3 linked regions of the Drosophila melanogaster genome follow. Changing the gene in region 1 together with any one later gene gives a genetic interaction. Each region holds a gene or a part of one and is shown in the gene's direction. Other genes may lie near its edges.

What was found.
Region 2: of Rtnl1 (region 1) and Drp1, changing one suppresses a phenotype caused by changing the other (phenotypic suppression), as found in Drosophila melanogaster (one study listed by BioGRID).
Region 3: of Rtnl1 (region 1) and ReepB, changing one enhances a phenotype caused by changing the other (phenotypic enhancement), as found in Drosophila melanogaster (one study listed by BioGRID).

What each region holds. Positions count from the first base shown.
Region 1 is NT_033779.5:5,005,240-5,013,310, reverse strand, and holds the start of Rtnl1 (Reticulon-like1), read left to right. Parts: upstream 1-3,590; 5' UTR 3,591-3,935; coding exon 3,936-5,130; intron 5,131-6,745; exon of another isoform or gene 6,746-6,927; intron 6,928-8,071. Other genes in the region: vkg (viking), read left to right, coding at 1-99, 167-800; SelT (selenoprotein T), read right to left, coding at 1,449-1,899, 1,976-2,121; Tfb5 (transcription factor B5), read left to right, coding at 2,545-2,579, 2,638-2,824; CG31917 (uncharacterized protein), read left to right, coding at 2,879-3,334.
Region 2 is NT_033779.5:2,580,781-2,588,725, reverse strand, and holds Drp1 (dynamin related protein 1), read left to right. Parts: upstream 1-3,295; 5' UTR 3,296-3,454; coding exon 3,455-3,556; intron 3,557-4,324; coding exon 4,325-4,469; intron 4,470-4,527; coding exon 4,528-5,192; intron 5,193-5,407; coding exon 5,408-5,859; intron 5,860-5,914; coding exon 5,915-6,260; intron 6,261-6,323; coding exon 6,324-6,552; intron 6,553-6,616; coding exon 6,617-6,828; intron 6,829-6,887; coding exon 6,888-6,944; 3' UTR 6,945-7,445; downstream 7,446-7,945. Other genes in the region: Arpc5 (Actin-related protein 2/3 complex, subunit 5), read right to left, coding at 7,840-7,945.
Region 3 is NT_033778.4:14,167,047-14,173,498, forward strand, and holds ReepB (receptor expression enhancing protein B), read left to right. Parts: upstream 1-3,415; 5' UTR 3,416-3,534; coding exon 3,535-3,676; exon of another isoform or gene 3,677-3,871; intron 3,872-4,113; exon of another isoform or gene 4,114-4,317; coding exon of another isoform or gene 4,318-4,405; intron 4,406-4,742; exon of another isoform or gene 4,743-5,113; coding exon of another isoform or gene 5,114-5,180; intron 5,181-5,243; coding exon 5,244-5,476; intron 5,477-5,537; coding exon 5,538-5,637; intron 5,638-5,700; coding exon 5,701-5,762; 3' UTR 5,763-5,952; downstream 5,953-6,452. Other genes in the region: CG18327 (uncharacterized protein), read left to right, coding at 46-293, 373-508, 618-1,148; CG18324 (uncharacterized protein), read left to right, coding at 1,810-2,057, 2,341-2,476, 2,524-3,063; mRpS16 (mitochondrial ribosomal protein S16), read right to left, coding at 5,985-6,257, 6,323-6,439.

The sequences.
Region 1 (8,071 bases):
GCTGGCCTCCTTCTGGTTAACCGTCATCGAGGAGCAGGATCAGTTCGTCCAGCCGCGCCAGCAGACGCTAAAGGCGGATTTTACCAGCAAGATAAGCAGGTGGGTTACTTGAGCAAACCCATTAGCTGTATACATATGTATCTACAATGGCGGTATCATCTTTCAGGTGCACGGTTTGCCGTCGTCGAGGCAACAGCTTTGTGGCTCGCACTGCAAAGTCCAGGGCAGATGCGTCTTCCGGTTTCACAGATGGTTCTGCCTCGAGTAATCCTTCGGGCAGTTTGAAAACAGATGGCAATTACAGGGCAAACTGGCAATCCGGCCGGTCTTCCAGTCCTGGCTCTCAGTCCAGTCCTGGTTCCAGCTCCGGATCCTGGTCATCTGGATCCAATGCCGGAGCTTATCCTGGCTCCAATGCCGGAGCTTATTCTGGCTCCAATGCCGGAGCTTATCCTGGCTCCAATGCCGGAGCTTATCCTGGCTCCAACGCCGCCTGGCAATCGAGGACCAATGCTGGATCCAGCTGGCATTCCGGACCCGTAGCAGGATCGGTCTCCAATCCGGGATCGTACTCTAGCTGGTCCACGGGCTCCAGTCCTGGTTCCAATCCCGAATCTAACGCCGGGTCCACGCGCTCCTCTTGGATCACGCGCAGTCGCGGCCCATCAAACTATCTGAACGGAAGGTACCAGCAAAGGGTTCACCCGAGCAACCTGCAGGCCTACGATGAGTATGCTCGCCATGGTGGCAATACCCGCCAGTACAACCGACGCCCACGCGAGGACACCACCGCCCCCTAGATTGCAGTTCGAACTAAGTAGCAGTTAAATATACGTCTTAAGTAATTTGCTATCCTATCCAGGAAACGAGATAACGATCCAAACCCCAACTCGAGTACCAAACAAACAAAACTTTAACCACAGAACAGTGCCATTTTCCGTGGAGATGTAATCTAATTACGTGGACACCAAAAACTAAAACCATATGACACATATGCCACATACCAAATATAATTATGGAATTATGGAAGAGGGGTCGAGAAGAGTAACCACTGCCTCCACTGCAACGAAAGTAAATCTTGTGCCCCTGTTGGGATTATTGTAAACGTAACACAACCAAAAAGAAAGCCCAGTTTTTTGATAAATAAAATGTACAACACATAAAACGAATGCACAAGAAATTTCGTTTGATTGAAATTAAAGCGAACTTTATATCCCATCTAAATCCGATCAAATGCGATTTTGTTCGGTTCGGATTGGATGCGTTTAGGATGTGTAGAGTAGGCTATAGTTGGGGTGAAAACAGAAATACAGCTAAGTGGATAATGTCGGGACAAGAGCTTATGTTTAAGTTAGGTTCAGAGCCGGAAATCGATGTCTGCGGCTGTTTTGGTGTTGTCCAACTGCTGTTTTCCGCGCTCCTCCGTCCGTCCAGTCAGTCCAATGCTATTATTTAACAAAGTCCGGATTCTCCTGCACCTTTTCGGTGAACTGCAGATGGTTGTCGATGATTTGAAAGAGTACCTCCGGCGAGGGAAAGCGTCCCGTCTGCAGTTTCGACCACACAGGCACATCGTTTAGTGTTATCTCGAAAGCGCCGGACGAGATGAGCTGGGCCTCGAGCATGTTGCCCAGGAAGAAGATCATCATGCAGGCGTATATCTTGTTAGCCTGCATGTGGCTCCACCAACTGGGCGTGTTCAGGCCAAGGAAGGTGAACGGACTGACCGCACTGACCACGGACACAATGATTATGATCTTCAGGGCGAATATCATCTTGGAGAGGTAATAGTTTAGACCCGGCGGATCGTAGTTGCCGCCATTCACCTGAATTTGCGGATACTTCTCGCCCAGCAGGCCCACGTAGTCCTCGAACGCCTTGCGATAGCCGCAGGAGTAGCTATTTGGCGAATCAATGGTGAGAAACACAGAGGTCATTGTTATCAATTATGTTAATTGCCCCGCATATAACGCACCAGTAAAGGAAAGTCATCGTCGGCGCTATGTTCTGTCCGAATTTGGTAACCGGTATCTCCTTCTCGCCCTCGGCGAACACCAGGGCGTATCCGGCGCACAGGCACAGCACCAGTAGTGCCACATTCCTTCCGGTCAGCCTTTCCATTGCGTGCTTATGGTCTGATTTAATTAGGAATTTAATTTGGAATTCAATATTTCCTCACACTTTTGCCTTGGTGTTTGTCCGTGTGACTGGCAAATACCCCGCTACTTCTGTCTACTTTTCGTAGTGAGTAGCACTGATAGGGCTGGCAAAATAGCTATATTTCTTAAAGTACGAAACTTCCGACGGTGAAACTAACATAATATAGTTAATATCGGGTGCTGGTTTAAAGCAATGTGTTATATTTCGTTGATTGTAAATATTATATTGCCATGCTGAAATTATTGATTAAATTATCAAGTAAAGTCAAAAAAATATCGATAGTAAAGACTGCCACCTCTAGCCTACGTTTCACTGTGAATATGTCATTCAGCTCTGAGAATTGGTGAGATTGTTTATTAATTTCGGCAAACAAATGCTGGCAACATGGTAAATGTTATGAAAGGAGTGCTGGTGGAGTGGTAAGTGGTATACGTTTGGTATGCGTTGGTTTCGCTATATTCAACCCAATCCCCGCAGTGATCCTGCTATGAAACAATTCCTGCTGCACTTGGACGAAAAACTGGCTCTGGGACGCAAATTCATTATCCAGGATCTGGACGAGAACCATTTGTTTATCTCCACGGACATTGTGGAAGTTTTGCAGGCGCGAGTGGACGACTTGATGGATCGGATAAGCTTTCCGCTGCACGACAAGGACGCTTAGAACCTACACAACCCATAAAATCCAATAGCCAAAAGTAAAAACCTAAAAACAACCATGACGGGTCGCGAATCCAACCGCATCAAGGACGCTGAAAAGAAGCGTGTCCTGGACTCCACAGCCCGCCAGCGGCGTGCCCGCAAAGCCTTGGAGGCTCTGGAGCAGGACAACTACCACGATGACCCACACGCCGACCTTGTCATGTCCAAGAAGTTGCCCAAATTCCAGGACAGCCTGAAGACCGGCAAGGAGAAGAAAGGCAAGCGCAAGGGCGCCGAATACTTTCTCGTCAAGTATCGCAAGAACTTCCAGCAACTGCTCGAGGAGGACAAGGACAAGCAGCCCAACTACGAGAGCGCCGCAGCGCCGGCTCCACAAAAGCCACTGCGGCATTTCTGCGCCGTTTGCGGCAACTTCTCGTTGTACTCGTGCACCGCCTGCGGAACGCGATACTGTTGCGTTAGATGCCTGCAAACGCACCAGGACACGCGCTGCCTCAAGTGGACGGCCTGAGCATGGTTGTTATGTTTACAAATAAATCAAACATTAGGCATAACTGAATTGCGCGAAGTTTCTGGAAATACATACAACAAATTTTAGCTGTCGTGAATTTTAGCCAATTTGCCAGAGCCATTGGGTTAATGTCATGGCTAAAGATGCCGGCAACATCAAAACTTTGGTTCGAAACATGGCTGTTCAAGGTATTTGTCCATTTTTAGGCAATTATGCTGTGAGCGTCATCGATAGTATCGACCGCTGTGCCACCTCTAGCGCAGGTCCATTGAAACTTTTCAAACGTCTGCATCGACGGCGCCTGTAAAAGAGTCGCTGTGGTTCAAATTAAATTCAACGTTCCCGAGCACAAAACACTGCGAATTGCGGCCTTTTAGTCACCAGAAGGCACTTAAGTCGGCTAAAAAAAATCATATTAATTTCAACCGGCAAAATCAGCTGTAGCTCGGTGCCTGTGCGTGTGTGTGTGGGTGTGTCGTGTGCGTGCGTACGTGTGTGTGTGTGCGAAGTTCCAATCAGAAGGCCAGGATATTCAAACACATCTGTGAAAATTTCTTATTGATCACAAGTGTTATATTTTGAAATCAAAACACTGTAGAATATGGATCGGAACTTCGACGAACTGAAAAAGGAGGCCGCTGCCACCAACGAGGACATCTTCAAGCAGGCGCAACGTGCCTACGAAGACTCTGCACTTGGTGGCGATACTGGCAATGTGAGTGGTGGTGCCCAGGACGATAATGCCCACACGGAGCACTACTTCGCCAACGAGCAAAAGAAGTTGGACTTTGGCGATGCGCAGGAGTTTGTCCAACGCCTGGCCGCCGACGCTAAGGATGCCAAACTCGATTTGGACACCAAGTTTGCACAGAAGACTGATGATTTCGAGGACTTTCTGCGCGACGCTGGCAAGGAGGTGAAGCAGGGCATCAGTGGACTGACCACCGACTTTATGAATGCCGAGCGGGGCTTCTCCGCTCCCCTGGCTCCATTCTCAGAGACGGTAGCTCAAGCTCCGGTTATTCCAGCACAAGCTCCAGCTGTTCCCGATCATGCTCCGGCCGTTCCAGCTCCAGTGGCGCCAGCTCCTGCTGTCCCAGCTCCGCTTCCTGTCGAGGAGGACCTCCTGGGCAGCTTCACTGACCAGCCATCGGCACCACTCCAGGCCTTCCAGCCAACGGCACCGTCCACGGCCAATTTCTATGACGACGAGGAGGATGACTTCCTGGGCAAGCCAACCACTGCTGCCCCAGCAGCTCCTGTCGCCCCATTGACCAAGGCCAACCAGGATTCCGACACTGAATCGCCGTCCGTCTCGTACACACCATCGCCGGCCAAGAAACCCATTGTAGATGCCCTCAAGGATCAGGACAACGAGAAGTTCATCTCGTCGGAAGATCTGGCCAGCGATTTTAAGGAGGAGCCACGCTCAGCACCCACACCAGCACCCGCACCAGCTCCCATTCTCGATGCTGCTCCAGCTGTTGCTCCTGCTCCAGTGGCAGTACCAGTATCAGTACCAGTTGCCAAACCCCAGCCGGTTCCAGTGGCTGTACCCGTGACAACCGCTTTGATAACCGACCTGGATGACGAGGAGGTGGTGTTCAAACCCACTGTCCAGGAGGCGCCGAAGGCACCCACCATCGCCGCACCCGTAGTCGAGCCGAAACCAGAGCCACCCAAACCCAAGGTGGAGCCGGCCAAGCCGAAGGTTGTGCCAGTGGCGCCAGTTGAATCGACCCAGCCGCAGCCAAAGATTGCGTCCGTCGAGGAGATCTTCTGCAAATACGGATTGGGTGAGTCTAGCCACTGCAAATAGCAACTAGTCAACACCAGTTATCATTGCGTTTCTAATTAATTTGTTGTGTTCCCGTCGTCATTCGAGTATTATAGTACACCGTCGTAATTTGAATACCATTTTGATGTTTGTTCCCAGTGTCCTTGCGGCGCACCTTGCATCCCACGCCCTTTCCCATCGCCTGCTGCCCCTTCTATTTAATTTTGTTTTGTGCGTTAGTCATTCGCCACTCTCTTATTATTATTATTTTTTTTTTTTTTTTGTATGGTTTTTTTCCTCCAACTCTGCTCATGAGTCATCGTTTTTTGCGGAGCTCTCTTATTAAGTGAATTTTATATCGCAATGCGGTGAAATTTAATAGCCTAGAAGATACTCTCTTCGGAGGCCGACTTTTCTTCTTCCTTTTCCATTTCCCTTGACATTAATCATTCTCGATTTGAACAGCAGCCGCATTGTTTGCCGGCTTTCTCATAGTTTTCATAGATTTTTCGCAATCGATCGTCACCGCGTGATTCACACTCATTTGAATGCCACGAACAGAAATATGACTGCTTAATACAGGGATCGTTCGCTAAAGGCAACCCGCTAATTTACTGCAAGAAACTACTTTTATAAAAGCAATATGATTTGCAGGTAGAAACAGTGAATAATCAAATATATTATGAATATGAAATGGATATTATTTATTAACCGTTTGATGCTCCTAACGTTTATTGTTTCCAACAAAGCAAACAGAAACAATTAAATAGATAGGAAGGTGAATCGTAAAACAGATAGGCAAACCTTAGATGAGCAGACAGAGGTGAAAAGAAGGTAAATTGCATAACTAATCCCAACTGGGCAACTCATCACGCCGGGTATAGTAGATACGAAAAAGGGGGCAACATTCTCGAAGCTGGTTTCACCATTACCGAGATACTTAACCGGCGTGAATCAGCTGCTCAGTAGCTCAGTAGCTTCTCCATTCCAAAAGCTCTATATTGGTCTATATATAATATATGTATATGTATATATATATAGAGTGTACCCACCATTGACGTACACATGTCCGTTCATCATATTTCGCTTTATTTCATTGCGATTCTTTTTTTTGTGTTTTCTGTGTTTCAGCTTCGTGTCCATTAAAGCAATTTGCGGCAAAGTAATTTATTGTTGCGTAGTAATCTCTGCTACTATTTGGCAATCTCACGTTTCCATTCCCATTTCTACTACCTTTCGACAGTGCGCTAATTTGGCCAGCGAATAATTCAATTCTCGTCTCCCTCGCGGCGAATGCGAGTTTTTCACGGCATGCAGCAGGCGACCAGCAACTGCGGAAAAATATTTTCCAATTAGTGATTTCCATTGACGCCTCTGTCTGCCAGTCTGGGTTGCATCCATCCTTTTAGTGCGATTATGCGGCTATTTTTGTTATTCCACTACCAGCTGTAGCTGTAGCGCACATATTTGCCTTGTTCTTTTGTTCTTTCGCTGCGCTTTTGTCTTTCAATTTGCCATTGATTTCGCTTTGGACTCTCGCATCCGAAACGGATTTCTCAATTGCATCTTCCCCTCTCGTTTAGCATCCACCTTATCGCACCCCCATTATCGCCAACGGTCATAGTTGCAATCAACTGTAGTTCACTGACAGCTCCCGCGATATCGTCACATTTTAACTTTACACATTTGTGTATTATAACTACATATAACAATACCATCCTGACCGCAGATATAGAATTTATTTTAATTTTACTTGTGCGTTGTGTTGATCGGTAAACAAAGGCGGAAATCCGAAGAGTGGAGCCGAGTAAACAATGTGTGTGTTTTTTTTTTTTTAATTATTTTTGGTTAATTGCATCTCCCACGCGGCCAGTGATCGATTAAGTGGGGGAATCGCTTTTTTTTGGGGCCACAAAAAGAACACATGTTTCCAACCAGACGAGAGTTGCCTATATTAAGAAAGTTATGGTGCGTGGGTCAAATTTAACCTAAAAACCAATATGGACAAGGCTACTCTTCTCGACAATATATGTGGATTATTTCGAATAAGTGATTTTCTCTTTTGATGAAAAATAAACCGATGTATCATTTTTGGTTGCATTTTACCTTTTTACCGCAGTATAGGTTTTTATATAGTATAGGATTTTTCAAAGGAATTCCATATATTGTCACAGGTTTCGCCTACTTATAAAGTAGGTCAAATTTATCAGTATCAAAGAACGTAGTGCGAAAGCTTTGGTATAATTTTCCCTGGGAAATTGTTTCGGAAAACATGCTTCCGTATTTCATTCTCCTGCCAACATATCGATTTCATTCGGACAGAACTGTGCTAAACCGTCAAAGAAGTTTGCCATTTTGACAGCACATCTCATGTGGAATGCGTCAAATATTTGTCTCATAACTTGGTCGAAAGTTGGCCAAAAGTATAAAATTTAGCAAAACATAGCAATGATTGCCCAGACAACCAATGGCCAGAAAAATGCGTTGCTTTCCGATTCCCATTTGATTGATTTCCCATCTAATTCTCGCGCCGCACGCAACTGCAGGGCGGGGTCAAAGGGCAAGCTGGCGGTTGGGCTGTGTGCGGGCGATAGCAACAGCATCTGCACCCACCGCACCCAAAAGTTGCAGCGTCTGGTAATTTCCGGCCCACTCGTTGGGTGTCGAACGAAAACAACAAGAGTCCTGCGGAAGCCAACGCATGCGCTGCGCGGAAAGCCAAGAAAAGTCTCCGCCCGGAAAAACTCTCCGCTCACCAAGCAGCGGGTCAGCTGCAATAGGTGAAATCGATGGCCCCCAGCTAGCGAGCTTTCCCCAAACTCGGCGGCACATCAAATGCTACTGCCGAGCCACCGAGTTCAGGGCTAAGCACGGTTGCTCAACTTGGCGAGACTTGCGGCTGCCCTCTCATTGAATCCGCACCGCCTTCAGCCCTGCCGGGCGATTACAGTGGACACATG
Region 2 (7,945 bases), 2.4 Mb from region 1:
CTTGCTTGTTGTCGCCTCGCAGCAGCACTCGAAGAAAGATTTCCCAGCCAATTTGAATATAATTGGTAAGAATTTTAAATTCAAGAAATATGTTTTTAATATTTGCTAAAGCACTACTTGAAAGAATAAGCCCATGAAAAATGGATCGTAAGAATGATATTATGTTCCTTGGTATATCAATCTACTTCAATTGCATCCCCTTTTTTCCAGTGTCTCGAGGCTTTCCGTCGAGGTTTTCCGCCACAGCTGGAGTATGCAAATGCTCCCCACTTTTCCGCCCACACTTCTAATTCCGCTTAGCTGCAAATCCAATTAAACATGCAGCCAGAGCATTGCCAAAATATAAATAAGGGAAACATGTGTGCGATACTTTCGCACTTTCCGCAGTAGAAGGCAGCAGGCATCTGGCAGCCGCGTTCCCAGGCAGATTAATGGCCAAGGAGCTGGGTGCCAAGAGCGGCGACATCTGCTAAATGGTAACCACATCCTGCCAAGATCCGGGGCGCACCGAAAAACCCAACCAAGCGGCTGCACACATGGCCTTCATAATTCAACCCACTTGATAGAGTCGGTTATGGCCACACTTCATGGTCCTTTAATGGGTTTAGTAATGGTAATGATGAAAAAAGAGATATATCTAATTTATTATTATGCATATATATTCAGTTATTGAATAAAAATGTATTGTATACTTTCAACCAAGTTTTATATTAAAATGTGCGAGAGCATAAAGAGCAACCTCCTTCAAACCGCATCAATCAGCAATTATATCGCATATTTCCCAGCTCGCGCTCCGCATTTTCCAGCCAGACCACAAGCTGTGGAACATTCATGATTCCGGGAATTGCAAAGGGGCAAAATCAAAGTTCATTATTGCAGCAGTTGTGGCGAGAACGTACGGAGAAGTTTCCGCCCCGTAACGCCGCCTACTTCAAGGGCTCTCCATCCATCCGTCGTATTCACATGGCGTATACGCAATATAAATACGTAATTGCATGAAACACCATGGAAAACGGGCAGAGCCATTGATCAACTGGCAGTCAGCCGAAAGATGAAAGCCGAGTCCCGAAAACCAAAGGCATCGAGGCACAAAAGAGCAAAGCACCAAAGGAGCAGGATGAGCAGGAGGAGCATGAGGACTTCGTGGTTTCCACCAGGGCAGAGAAGCTCATCAACTAAATGCAAAGTTCTTGCAGGCTGGCTGCAGAACAAGAATAATTGACGACGACATGGCGATGGATAATGAGGCGACTACCCATCCTGCACACACGCAGGATATGACAGCGAAAGGCTGGCGACTCCTTGCAGCACTATAATCCTGCGGAAACACTTGAAAATGATGGATGAAAATTATCGCTTTGTGCAACGCATGCAAATGTGCAAAATTACTTTCACATGATTAATGCTCCACCGGAGGGCAGAGGCTGCTCCAGCTTCAACTACACCATCATCATCACCATCATCATCATCATCACTCCATAATTAATCGCGCCAAGTCGAAAAGCGGCAAAAGAAAGCCAGAAAGCAGACAATGGCTGAACTTCATTTGAAATTCATATTTTAAGTATTCGTCAGTCAATTAGAGAGCCAAGGACCCTGACACCGAATTTGCATTCAGCCGTGAAATTATCAAATTAATATTCCGGCCCCGAGAAGGGGGCGTGCCCCATCACCATCACCCCCGCCCGTCTTTCGCAATAACTGTCAACTCAAACTCAAGAAGTTTTCCACGCCGCACATTTCGGCAAGTTGTCAAGCCAGAGATACGAAAGTTCCCCGGTCCAACAATGCCAATTTGATGGGGGAAATTTTGAAATATTTATACACACTCAAACACACAGATACAGCAGAGGTGTGCTGGCAAAGTTGCCAGCCAAATTTGTTAATTGGAAGCCGAAAGTTTATCTATGAAAATGCTAAAGAAGCCCACTTGCAGTTCGAAAAATGCCAGAATGTATAATAATGGGGCAAGAAATGAGATTAGTCAGTATCCCAAACTTGAATGATCAAAGTTTCATGGATGGCGTAACTAATTTTGAAGTGGAATGATTAAATTTTGAAACTACTTATAATCGATATTACCATCCTGCGATCGGAACAATAAACTCAAACAATTCGATACTTCAATGGGATTGTAAATAATAAGTCATCTTAAATCATCCCAAGCATATTCAAATCGCTTGGAAGCCATTAAAGAGATAAGCGAGCATTGCAAAATGATATCAGCCAACTTGTAACAATTTTCATTGTCATTTTCAATTGGGAGCAGCCAGGAGGAGCTGGCCAAACAACAATGGGAACTGTTATCAAATAGGACACATGATGCATACGTGAGTGGGGGCTTCTATGCACATGGATGTGGTACATACATATGTACGTCCAATATTCTGGTCCATTTGGGCCAGGCCACTATCGAAATTTGAATGCTTAGTGTACCGGGCGACAAGCATCCTCGAACATTGAAATAAACCGATAAAAACGACAGATGAGCCCGGCATTTCGCCCACAATGCATGCCAGGCAGGCAATCGAGTGTGGTCGAGAAATAGTCGGGTAGCCCCCTTTTTGGTTTTGGGGCACAGCTCACTGCCCTGCAATTCTTATATAAAACCGGGGAAGTCCCCATCCCAACCGCCCATGCAAATCTCGAGCACTTGAGGCCGGTCCCCAGATTATTCCTTTTCCCTATTTTGGGCCACGTGGTCTGACCACTTGGCGGCTGCTCCAACTTTAATATTTCTTCGTTTAAATAGTCCTTTATTTCTGCAGAAATTAGACAAAATCAAAGACAATATATTTATGCTATATATTCATTTTCACTGTTATGTCTGTAAGGGTATTCAGAAATGCGCCTACTCTGTGTAGTTTTTCAATTTAGTTAGATACGATGAATATATTGAGATTCTGCCAGATTTAGATTGTGGTGTGTGAGTTTTCAGATTGGTTTGTAAGGACCCCTTTTGTTTGGTCCATATCAATACAAACTCCTCATGTGCATATAAAATAAGTAAAAAGGCAAAATATGAAACAAAACAAAAAGAAAAGGACATTCATATTTTGTAGCTATTGGGGGATTTTAAGTAATGTTATGAAATCATACCTTTCTTTATTTGTGTAAAGTATTCAATACACGCAACTAACGGGCAAAATTGGAAACACCCAAAAATTCAATTTTGGCGCGCACAGAAAGCTGCCCTTTTGGAATAGATTGGCAGCACTCTCGCGCACGGTGGCAACCTCGTCTAGGGACTGCCGATAGCAGCAAGTTCCGCCCGTGTGGCAACACCGCTAGAAAAACAGTCTAAATTTGCTGTGCAACACTGGCGGTTTGCAAAAATAATTTCGGTGCTCGCGTCAATCAGAAAAAGCCGAAAAGAACGGCCTTTATGTGCGCGAATTAATCGCCAGCCGAGTGGAACGCGACCAAAGGAACCCAGCACACACACACACTCAGAATGGAGGCCCTAATTCCGGTCATAAACAAGCTGCAGGACGTCTTCAACACCGTGGGCTCCGACTCCATCCAATTGCCCCAAATTGTTGTTCTAGGCAGTCAGGTAAATGCAAACTGCGAGGTGCCCAAAAATCCGCACACCGAAAACCATAAATCCCCGAGCTCCGTAAAAGGAGTGGCAACTGAGAACCGGAATATGGCGCAGCTATCTGAAACCCCAACTCTTGCGCTTTTCCAGTGACCGCAAAATTATATAACTGAGTGCGTTTGCCGGCATTTTAGTTGTGTTTTCAGTTTGTAGCAACATTTCAGCCAGCTTTCGCTCTTCGCGGCGTCCCCATTGTTTATATAATTATTTTTGGCACTGCTCGCCGCCGCCATGGAAAATCAATATGCCACAGTATTATACAAAAACGAAAAAAAAAACAGCTGCTGGCTGATGTGACACATTCCCCCACGAACACACTGCAAAAAACAAACGTACACATGTGTGACTTCGATAGTTGTGTCTGTATGTACATATATGTGTGCATGTTTCGATCGCTGGCTTAATTGCACTTTGATTCACGCTCTGGAATTAAGTCAGTATGACTAAATGCTCGCGCAACTCATTGATACCGAGTACAGCGGAGCTCCAATATGTTGAATCTGTGCCATTTCTTACCATTCATTTGGTTTTCTGTTGCAAAGGCTTAAGTTTGAGAAATTTGCAATCACAGAATGGCTCCCATTGCCAGATAAGAATAGTTAATCTGCGGTTTTCCAAGTGTTTCCTCGCTGCAAACGCTTGGGAGCCACCTTATCAGGTCATCGTCTTTTATCAGCCGTCGTTTTAACTCCCAGTAATACATACATTTCCCCTTTTTTCCAGAGCTCCGGCAAGAGTTCGGTGATCGAGAGCGTTGTGGGACGATCCTTTCTGCCCCGTGGAACTGGTATTGTGACCCGTCGCCCACTGGTGCTCCAGCTGATCTACAGCCCACTCGATGATCGCGAGAATCGCTCGGCGGAAAATGGTGAGTTGAGACGTCAGAAGTTCGGGAAAACCCAATTGCTAAACCACATAACACTTAGGTACGTCCAATGCCGAGGAGTGGGGCCGCTTCCTGCACACCAAGAAGTGCTTCACGGACTTTGACGAGATCCGCAAGGAGATCGAAAACGAAACGGAGCGGGCGGCGGGCAGCAACAAGGGCATCTGCCCGGAGCCCATCAACCTGAAGATATTCTCAACGCACGTGGTCAACCTAACGCTGGTGGATCTGCCCGGCATCACCAAGGTCCCGGTGGGCGATCAGCCGGAGGATATCGAGGCGCAGATCAAAGAATTGGTCCTCAAGTACATTGAGAACCCGAACTCCATCATTTTGGCTGTGACGGCCGCCAACACGGACATGGCCACCAGTGAGGCACTCAAGCTGGCCAAGGACGTGGACCCCGATGGCCGGCGCACTCTGGCCGTGGTCACGAAACTGGATCTCATGGATGCCGGCACCGATGCCATCGACATCCTGTGCGGCCGGGTCATTCCCGTCAAGCTGGGCATCATCGGCGTTATGAATCGCTCGCAGAAGGACATCATGGACCAAAAGCACATCGACGATCAGATGAAGGACGAGGCCGCCTTCCTGCAGCGCAAGTATCCCACTCTGGCCACCCGGAACGGCACGCCCTACTTGGCCAAGACCCTCAACCGGCTCCTGATGCACCACATCCGGGACTGCCTGCCAGATCTTAAGGTGAGTCTAGTCTATAAAGACTGCATATCGATTTCACAAACTATGCGAGAATCTCAGGCTAAAACTTCAAGAAAATGTAAAAAAATGAAACAAACTTGGCACTCGATTATAATCGATCTTTATATTTTTCTATGGTAAAGCAAGAGAAGATTAATGGCAGATAAGGTTAGAATAGCATGTTGAATTCAAGAGAATGACTTCCCATATTCTTGCAGACTCGCGTCAACATCATGGCCACGCAATTCCAATCGCTGCTGAACTCCTATGGCGAGGATGTCTCCGACAAGAGCCAGACCCTGCTGCAGATCATCACGAAGTTCTCCAGCGCCTACTGCTGCACAATCGAGGGCACGGCCAGGAATATCGAGACCACGGAACTGTGCGGCGGTGCCCGGATGGGCTACATTTTCCACGAGACCTTCGGCCGCACCCTGGACTCCATTCACCCGCTGGCGGGTCTGAGCAAGATGGACATACTGACAGCCATCCGGAATGCCACTGGTCCACGCCCGGCTTTGTTCGTTCCGGAGGTCTCGTTCGAACTGCTAGTGAAGCGCCAGATTCGCCGCCTGGAGGAACCCTCCTTGCGCTGCGTGGAACTCATTCACGAGGAGATGCAGCGCATTGTTCAGCATTGTGGCAACGAAGTGCAGCAGGAGATGCTGCGGTATGTGAACTCATGATAGCTGAACGCCAAAGGTTTTCATCGATCTCCCCTACAGCTTTCCCAAACTGCACGAGAAGATTGTGGACGTGGTCACCCAGCTGCTGCGTCGACGTCTGCCGCACACCAACGTGATGGTGGAGAACATTGTGGCCATCGAGCTGGCCTACATCAACACCAAGCACCCCGACTTCCACAAGGATGCCGCTTTGGTGCCCAGTCTGCTGAAAACGGACAGCGATCCCTACTCACAGATAAATCTGGGGCAGCGGCGGGCCAATACACCGCGAAACCACATGTCGCCTCAGATTTCGTCGCACAGTGCTGGTTCACAGCAGCCGCAGCAGCAACAGCCGCCGCAGCCGAATTCCTCACAGCAGCAATATAGCCAAGTGCATGAGCAGGTGCCAGCGGAATCTTCATTTATGTATGCAACCTATTTAACCCATTTTCGTTTCGCTCTCTAGAACCACGTCGCCGAGAACTCGACGCCTTCGATGGCCAGCACATGGCTGTCAAACATTTTACCGCCGGCACCAACGCGTCCGGACAGCATTGAGAACTCGACCAACAACACTCCGGTTCACAATAACATCGTGAGTCCAGTGAAGCCGGTCAATCTGCTGCCCGATGTGCCGGCCAACCACAATCCACGTCGCCTCACTGACAAGGAGCAGAAGGATTGCGATGTCATCGGTGGGTTGCACTTAACTCGGGCCACTTAAAGACCTAACTCAATCTGACTACTTTTTGTTTTTAGAACACCTGATCAAATCGTATTTCTACATTGTGCGCAAATCCATACAAGACTCGGTTCCAAAGGCCATCATGCATTTCTTGGTTAACTACGTTAAGGACAACTTGCAGAGCGAATTGGTTACACATCTGTATAAGTCGGATAAGGCTGAAACCCTGCTCAACGAGTCCGATCACATTGCAGTGCGCCGAAAAGAGGCGGCAGATATGCTGAAGGTGCGCTTGGCTAGCTTATACTTAGCTTGACATCGTTTTAAACTTACTTTTGATTTCAGGCACTGACGCGAGCGAATCACATCATCAGCGAAATCCGCGAGACCCACATGTGGTAGGCTGGTCAGCGATTGGAGCAACCCGTTTCGACTTAATAATCCCCGCATATAAGCAACATAAAAACTATTTATTGAAGACGCGTTCAAAGAGAACGAACTCCTTTGTTAAATGTTCCCCCTACCGAGCACTGAAATATCATCAAATTGCATGCGACCCCCAAATTCTGGGCCTTTCATTTAGCCAACTCGCATTTCTATTCGCCTGGCATTTGTCTATCATCGAGCCTCTCCGCTTTTTAAATTAATAAGAAGTTGTAGACGCCGTGATTGGTTTGATTAGGTTACTCAAAGCACTTATTACACATTGAATAGTCAAATAAAGCAGAAAAGGTTGATTCAAACATAGTAGATGTGTTTTCTGTCACGGCAGCTAAAAGTTTACGAAGGCAACGTCATCATGTTGAATGATACACCTGGAATTTCGATTAGATAAGCCATTATGTTCGTAAAGTTGCTAGGCTCAGTCTGAAGATTAATAAGTGTTTAAATCTGATAGGAGTTGAATCTTCCTGAGTTTTGAGATGCGTAGCAATTGCTTAGCCTTACTAAAAACAAAATTTTTCTTACAAATTATGTTACATGTAGGTGTGGCTTGAGTGAACTAGAAGTACGTTCGTTCCCCTGATTGAAATCACTGCCACTCACCTTTCGTAATAAAAACTTTAATACTTGGATACCAGTTAAAATCTAATTTGGAAAACGTCATTTGTATTGCGGCGAAGAAACAGAAGTGGGTTCCAGCTGGGGCGTGGCAAATCCCGAAGATAAGGATGTGGTGTCCAGTGCTCCAATCCTGTGTTGATTAAATGCTCCGCGATGCGTATGAATCGGTTTATGGGGCAGGGAACAGTTGGGGTAGTGACTCTATGACCGCCTTTGGCTGTGCTGATCTCCTCTAGGCGCGATTTGTGTCGGACAGCACGCGGACAATGCAGCCCACTCCTCCCTTGGCGAAGGCCTTCTCATGCCACTGCAGCAGGTGGCCACTGGAGCCCTCCGAG
Region 3 (6,452 bases), on another chromosome or scaffold:
GCGTTAGTGATCACTAGATTGTGATACAGAACGGACGTCTCATTGATGGCTACGTCGGATTTTGTGCTGGGCGGCGTGGCTGCCATGGGCGCTGGTGTCTTCACCAATCCCGTCGAGGTGATCAAAACTCGCATTCAACTACAGGGAGAGCTGGCCGCCCGAGGATCTCATGCTCAGCCTTACAAGAGTGTCTTCCAGGCCTTTGTGACTGTGGCCAAAAACGATGGAATTCTTGGCTTGCAAAAAGGATTGGCTCCAGCGCTATGCTTCCAGTTTGTAATAAACTCGTTTCGGTAGGTTAAAGCTGTTTGTTATCCTACAAGGAGTTTTCCAAAAATATACATATGTGCTCTATCTCTCTATCTGCTCTAGATTGAGCATATACACCCATGCCGTAGAGAAGGGTTGGGTCCACAACAACAAGGGCGAGATCTCATTCGCAAAGGGCATGTTCTGGGGCGCTTTGGGCGGCGTTGTGGGTTCCTATTGTGCCAGTCCCTTCTTCCTGGTAAGCGATTATGTAAATCAAACACTGAAGGTGTCTGCTTCCGCGAATATGTGACAATGTCTAGCCGTGATAAGATAAGGCATCACTGATAGCTACATTTCCATTCTAGATCAAGACGCAACTTCAGGCACAGGCAGCCAAGCAGATCGCCGTTGGTTATCAGCATCAGCACGCCTCGATGAGCGATGCGATTAGGAAGATATACAGGAAGAACGGCGTCTTTGGACTCTGGCGAGGATCGTTGGCGAATGTGAGCCGTGCCACTGTTGCGTCCGCCGTTCAAATCGCAGTTTTTGGCCAGGCCAAGAGTTTGTTGAAGGAAAACGGAGTGGTAACTCATCCCACAATCCTGTCCTTTTGCTCTGGCTTAGCCGCTGGGTCATTTGTCTCGCTGGCAATCACTCCATTGGATGTGGTTACCACTCGTCTTTACAATCAGGGAGTTGATGCCCAAGGTCGTGGCATTTACTACAGGGGCTGGTTGGATTGTGTGCTTACGATCCTAAGATCGGAGGGTGTATATGGGTTGTACAAGGGCTTTTGGCCCATTTATCTGAGGAGTGCTCCATATTCCACGTTGGTGCTTTTGTTCTTTGACGAACTAATTGCGCTGAGGGAAAAGTACGATCTTCACTACTAAACGAAAATTATTTAACACGAGCGGGGCTCTTTGAAATGCAAAACCATACGAAGTTGTTTTACTTTCGTTAGCTTAGTATTTGGAAGTTACGTTCTAGTAGCATATCCGTTTCCCGGATATTTCATCAAAATAACAATTTCAATTTGATCCTCTGAAGAGGGTAAGTAAAGATTTAAACAAGTTAAAAGAGAAAATAAAAATGTATTTATTTATATTTTATTCTTTGGCTACGAGCGTGGTTAAGTAAAGTCCTTATAATCCATTCTTAACCGTCCGCGAAATTATCGATATCCATACGTGTAACTATCGATAAATTAATGTTGATATTTAACAAGCAATAATAAATGTATTATGACCTTTTCTCAAAGTGATTTATTTGTTTTGGTCACTAATTAATAATTCAATAAGAATTTTACCAATATTTTTGAATAAAAAATTCATTAATTACAAATACTAATTTCTTTCTTAAGCGAATTTTAATTTTTAAACACCAAATACAAGAGTTCAAATATTTAAATTATTCCGCCAAGTGAGCATTTAAATCATTAAAGCATTAAAATGTATGCCATTAATTCGATAAATGTAACAATCGGTCTGTCGACCAAAGAGTAAACAAAATGTTAACGTAAGATCAACCAAATCCAAAGTTTGGGGTGAAAACATGACCAAGTCGGATTTCGTGCTGGGCGGAACGGCAGCGATGGGTGCGGTGGTGTTCACCAATCCCATCGATGTGGTCAAGACGCGGATGCAGCTGCAGGGAGAGTTGGCTGCCCGAGGAACCTATGTGAAGCCCTACAGGCATCTCCCCCAGGCCATGCTGCAGATAGTCCTCAACGACGGACTCCTTGCTTTGGAGAAGGGTCTCGCTCCGGCATTATGTTATCAATTTGTCCTCAACTCGGTCAGGCAAGTGCATTGTAAAGGACACTTGTTGCCATCCATAAACATCAAAATCTTTGAACTTTATACGAATATTAGAGGTAGATTTAAACAAAGTTTATATAAAAGTGGCCGTAAAATTATGCAATGCTAAGTAGTGTAATTACAAGCACCATGAATTAATGTGAAATGCATGCTTATCTTATCTAACACTGTGAAGTAATGGACATTTAAGATAAGTCGTTACGTTCATCATTGAAAATAGTTACCCTAAGCAAATTGCAGTGTAAATACCCTTTCCTTATGGTAGGCTAAGTGTATATTCGAACGCATTGGAGCTGGGATACTTGCAGAATGCGGATGGCTCCATATCCTTCTATCGGGGCATGTTCTTTGGAGCTCTGGGCGGCTGCACGGGCACCTATTTCGCCAGCCCCTTCTACATGGTGAGTAGATCCGCTAGAGCTTCCCATCTGATCTCCCTCCATTACAGATAAAGGCCCAACAGCATGCCCAGGCGGTTCAGTCCATTGCCGTAGGCTTTCAGCACAAGCATACTTCGATGATGGATGCCCTGCTGCATATTTACCGGACCAATGGCATTTCAGGATTCTGGCGCGCTGCTTTACCAAGCTTGAACCGAACGCTTGTGGCCTCCAGTGTACAGATCGGCACCTTTCCCAAAGCCAAGTCCCTTCTGAAGGATAAAGGCTGGATCACCCATCCGGTTCTCCTCTCCTTCTGTGCCGGCCTATCGTCGGGAACCCTTGTGGCAGTGGCCAATTCGCCCTTTGATGTGCTCACCACACGGATGTACAACCAGCCAGTGGATGAAAAGGGGCGTGGACTCATGTACAAGGGCTTGGTGGACTGTTTCACTAAAATCTGGAGAACCGAAGGGATCCATGGGATGTACAAGGGCTTTTGGCCCATATACTTTCGTAGTGCTCCACACACCACCTTGACATTTGTGTTTTTTGAAAAGTTGCTCCATTTGCGAGATCGTTATGTTTTCTCCCAGCGCAGAAACTGAAGAGTCCAGTCCTCATGGAGCCAACTAGATTACTGTAAATCCTCGCATACAATTGTTAAGTCCCACGATGTGACAATCCTAAAATTTATAATTTTATAAATAATAAAATTGTTCATCAAAAATGATCCCATGAGTTTACCATTGAATGCACGTCAACTGCTATAAGTTTTTTTTCTTATGTAATTTGCTGCATAACATATTTACCTTTCTAATAAAAGCTTAAAATAATTATTTGCTGTTTGCAAATATTTACTGTGAAAAAGAAAAAGCCGCCAGTATTGCAATTTTAGTATGACCTCTCCTTATCGATAGGCGGCGATAGATGCGAACAATAACGCATCATGTCTTCGATTGTCAATAGTCCATTTGGCACCGATAGGCGCAAGCACAAACTATCGACTGGCATCTGGAAAGTCGGCGGCGTCACATATTTTTGATTGACTATATATATTTAAAAACAATTTGCGCAAAATGGCCACTCAGGTGAAGCAGTTCTTAAACGGCTACAAGGATGACGTGAGCAAATCGCTGCGCGATGCTTCCAAGCCGTGGACCAAAGTCTTCGATACCGTGGAGGAGAAGACCGGCGTGGACCGGGTCAATATTTTCGTGGGTGAGTGTGGAATATCCTGGCGACGTCATCGCATGTCCTTCGCCGAAACGCCCATGTAACCTTCTGCTAGTTGACTGCGTAACCATTGAGATTAGCCTAGAGATGCAGTGGAATATTTCGGGATGCTTATAAATAGCAACCTGTTATATATAGCAATGTGTATGTGGCTGAATCAGGATGGTCGGGGGGGCTTAATAGCCGCCAGGTGACCAATTAACGAATTAAACAGACGACTTAAACGGCAAAGCCCAATTAAATAGTGTGTCTATATTATCACCGAGTGCCTGCAACCAATACACCTCAGTTTGTGAGCATGCGATGTGTGCGTGTAAGCGACTACGTAGACAGCTGGCGATGTGTGCGTCTGTTATCCACAAAAGTTTCATGTTTTGTGCTTTTCTTTGTTTACTTCAACGAAAGTACACTTTTTTTTGCCCAGTACGCGGTGAGCAATACATTTGGCGCATTCCATTGCCATATTCTCTAGACGAAGATCTGGAGAAAGTCCAGTTCGGCGGGGTCAAAAGGTCTGAATTATTGAGACGTGGCGCTGTCGGCACACGTGGAGCCAATCTACTCACTCACCTGTGTGCGTTGGTAGAGCTTTCAGTTCGTTCGTTCGGTGCTCACCGGAGTTACCGATGTGGCTCTGGGACTATATTATGCTAATCAGACAGCGACAGGAGACGCGGCGCAATGTCAGAGTTCCCTTGGTTTACCTCGGCATAGGTGAGAATGTGGTCATAATGGCAAAAGTAGCTATCTTTCAAAACCGAAGTCTATATACACTTGCAAAAATGACGGACGTTGATTCATCATACAAACATTTGGCCTCATTAGCTGTTCAACAGTTCGGCATACTTTAATAATCAAAACAAATTGTGTAAACAAATATATGCATATTAGGGAACAACCATTTATGGAGAATTCGCAATTCACATCAAATGATCTGATCGACTAAGGATATAGTTTCTGTGGCTTGTAATGAAACCCACCTTTTTGCAATGATGTTGCTCAAATTAAAGTACCCTCAGCCAGGGTATAAATATAATTAGCCGCCATCGAGCATGAATGACATCATAAATTTATGGCAAAACAACAGGCCGTAGTCCGCTCATCTGGGTGGGCAAAATGCAACTGGCCGGGATCAGAGGCAGGTCGAGACATCTACTGACAACAGCTAAGGGTTTATAATTAGCCAACGGCATGGGGCGGTTTAAAAACCCCAGGGATCCACGAAGGGGCGCCCTTGAAAGCTGTACGAGCACCTGGCACTGTGCCCTTGGAACAGTTAGTCTTGTAGCTAAAGTTTGTAAGTGTTAACTCCATCTGATCACCCTGCGCCCTGTGGAACCGCTCCTGCCCTTGGACCTGCTTATAGCCATAAGGGAAAATGCGCCACTAGGGCAATATCAATTGACCAACTAGATGGCGAACATGGCAGTCGAGGAATTAGAGAGCAAAATTGTCCAACTGTTCGTAGAGAACCCCCTCCTGCGCTACGGTAGAGCTCCAGCAGTGACTTAATGCTATTTACTAATAAGGTATTATATTTCATCATATGTAGGTGCTGTTGGTCTGTGCGCCATCTACCTGATCTTTGGCTGGGGCGCCCAACTACTGTGCAACATCATTGGGGTTCTGTACCCTGCATATATTTCCATCCATGCCATCGAGTCCAGCACAAAGCAGGACGACACCAAGTGGCTGATCTACTGGGTCACGTTTGGAATCTTCACCGTGATTGAATTCTTTTCGAGTCTGCTAACTTCGGTGATTCCCTTTTACTGGCTGCTGAAGGTGAGCTTTGCATTCTTCACATATAAGAATCTTCTTTTAAATGCTTCAACTCCACATGTAGTGTGCTTTCCTCATCTGGTGCATGCTGCCCACGGAACAGAATGGTTCTACCATCATCTACAACAAGCTGGTGCGACCCTACTTCCTGAAACATCACGAATGTGAGTAAATTCACCTCTTAGATATTGCAATTTTACTAAAAGGAGATCAATATTTGCACACAGCCGTTGACAGGATCATCGATGATGGCATGAAGAAAGCCGCTGGAGTGCTGAAGCATGACTAGAAGGCGAATGTACCGTAGCTCCGACCGCTTCTCGCTTATCCATGCATTTGGTTTTGGGCCTGGTCACCAACCTCACCTCGTATTGGTTACGTTTTGCAATAAATTTTAATTCTGTATTCATTTTGTTGTTGATAAGAGCACCAGTGTTCGCTGAACCAGAAGAAATCTCCGTTTGTTAAACGTAAAAACGAAAAGGAGGCTTTTATTGAGGCACAACTATATTTATGCGGTTGATTCCGCCTTTTCTGGCGACGCCTCCGCTTCAGCAGCTGTCCTCCGGTTCCGCCAGGCGGTCATGTAGGTGCGCGGGTGGATGGGCAGTAGTCCGGCAATTCCCAGGAGTTCTGCAGCCGGCGTGGACAAGTGTGCACCTTTGCCCAGCCAATAGCGAATTCTCTCCGTGTTCAGGGCCACCAGTCGTTCGTTGTAATCGTTGGGCAGGGGATCAAAGGAGCCCACCTGCTCGATGACAGGCTGGTGCTGGTTCTTGCGCCTCTAAACCGGAAAATACAATTACCAATTAAAAGTTTTAACCATTTTAATGGCCTAAAAGTACGCACCTCCATGACGACAATGTGATAAAAAGGCCGATTGGTGCATCCCAGGCGTACGAAACGTATGATTTTTGCCGACTTGGCGTAGAAACGACCAATGCCACTGGCTGGCGATAGAGACATCCCGATATTTTAT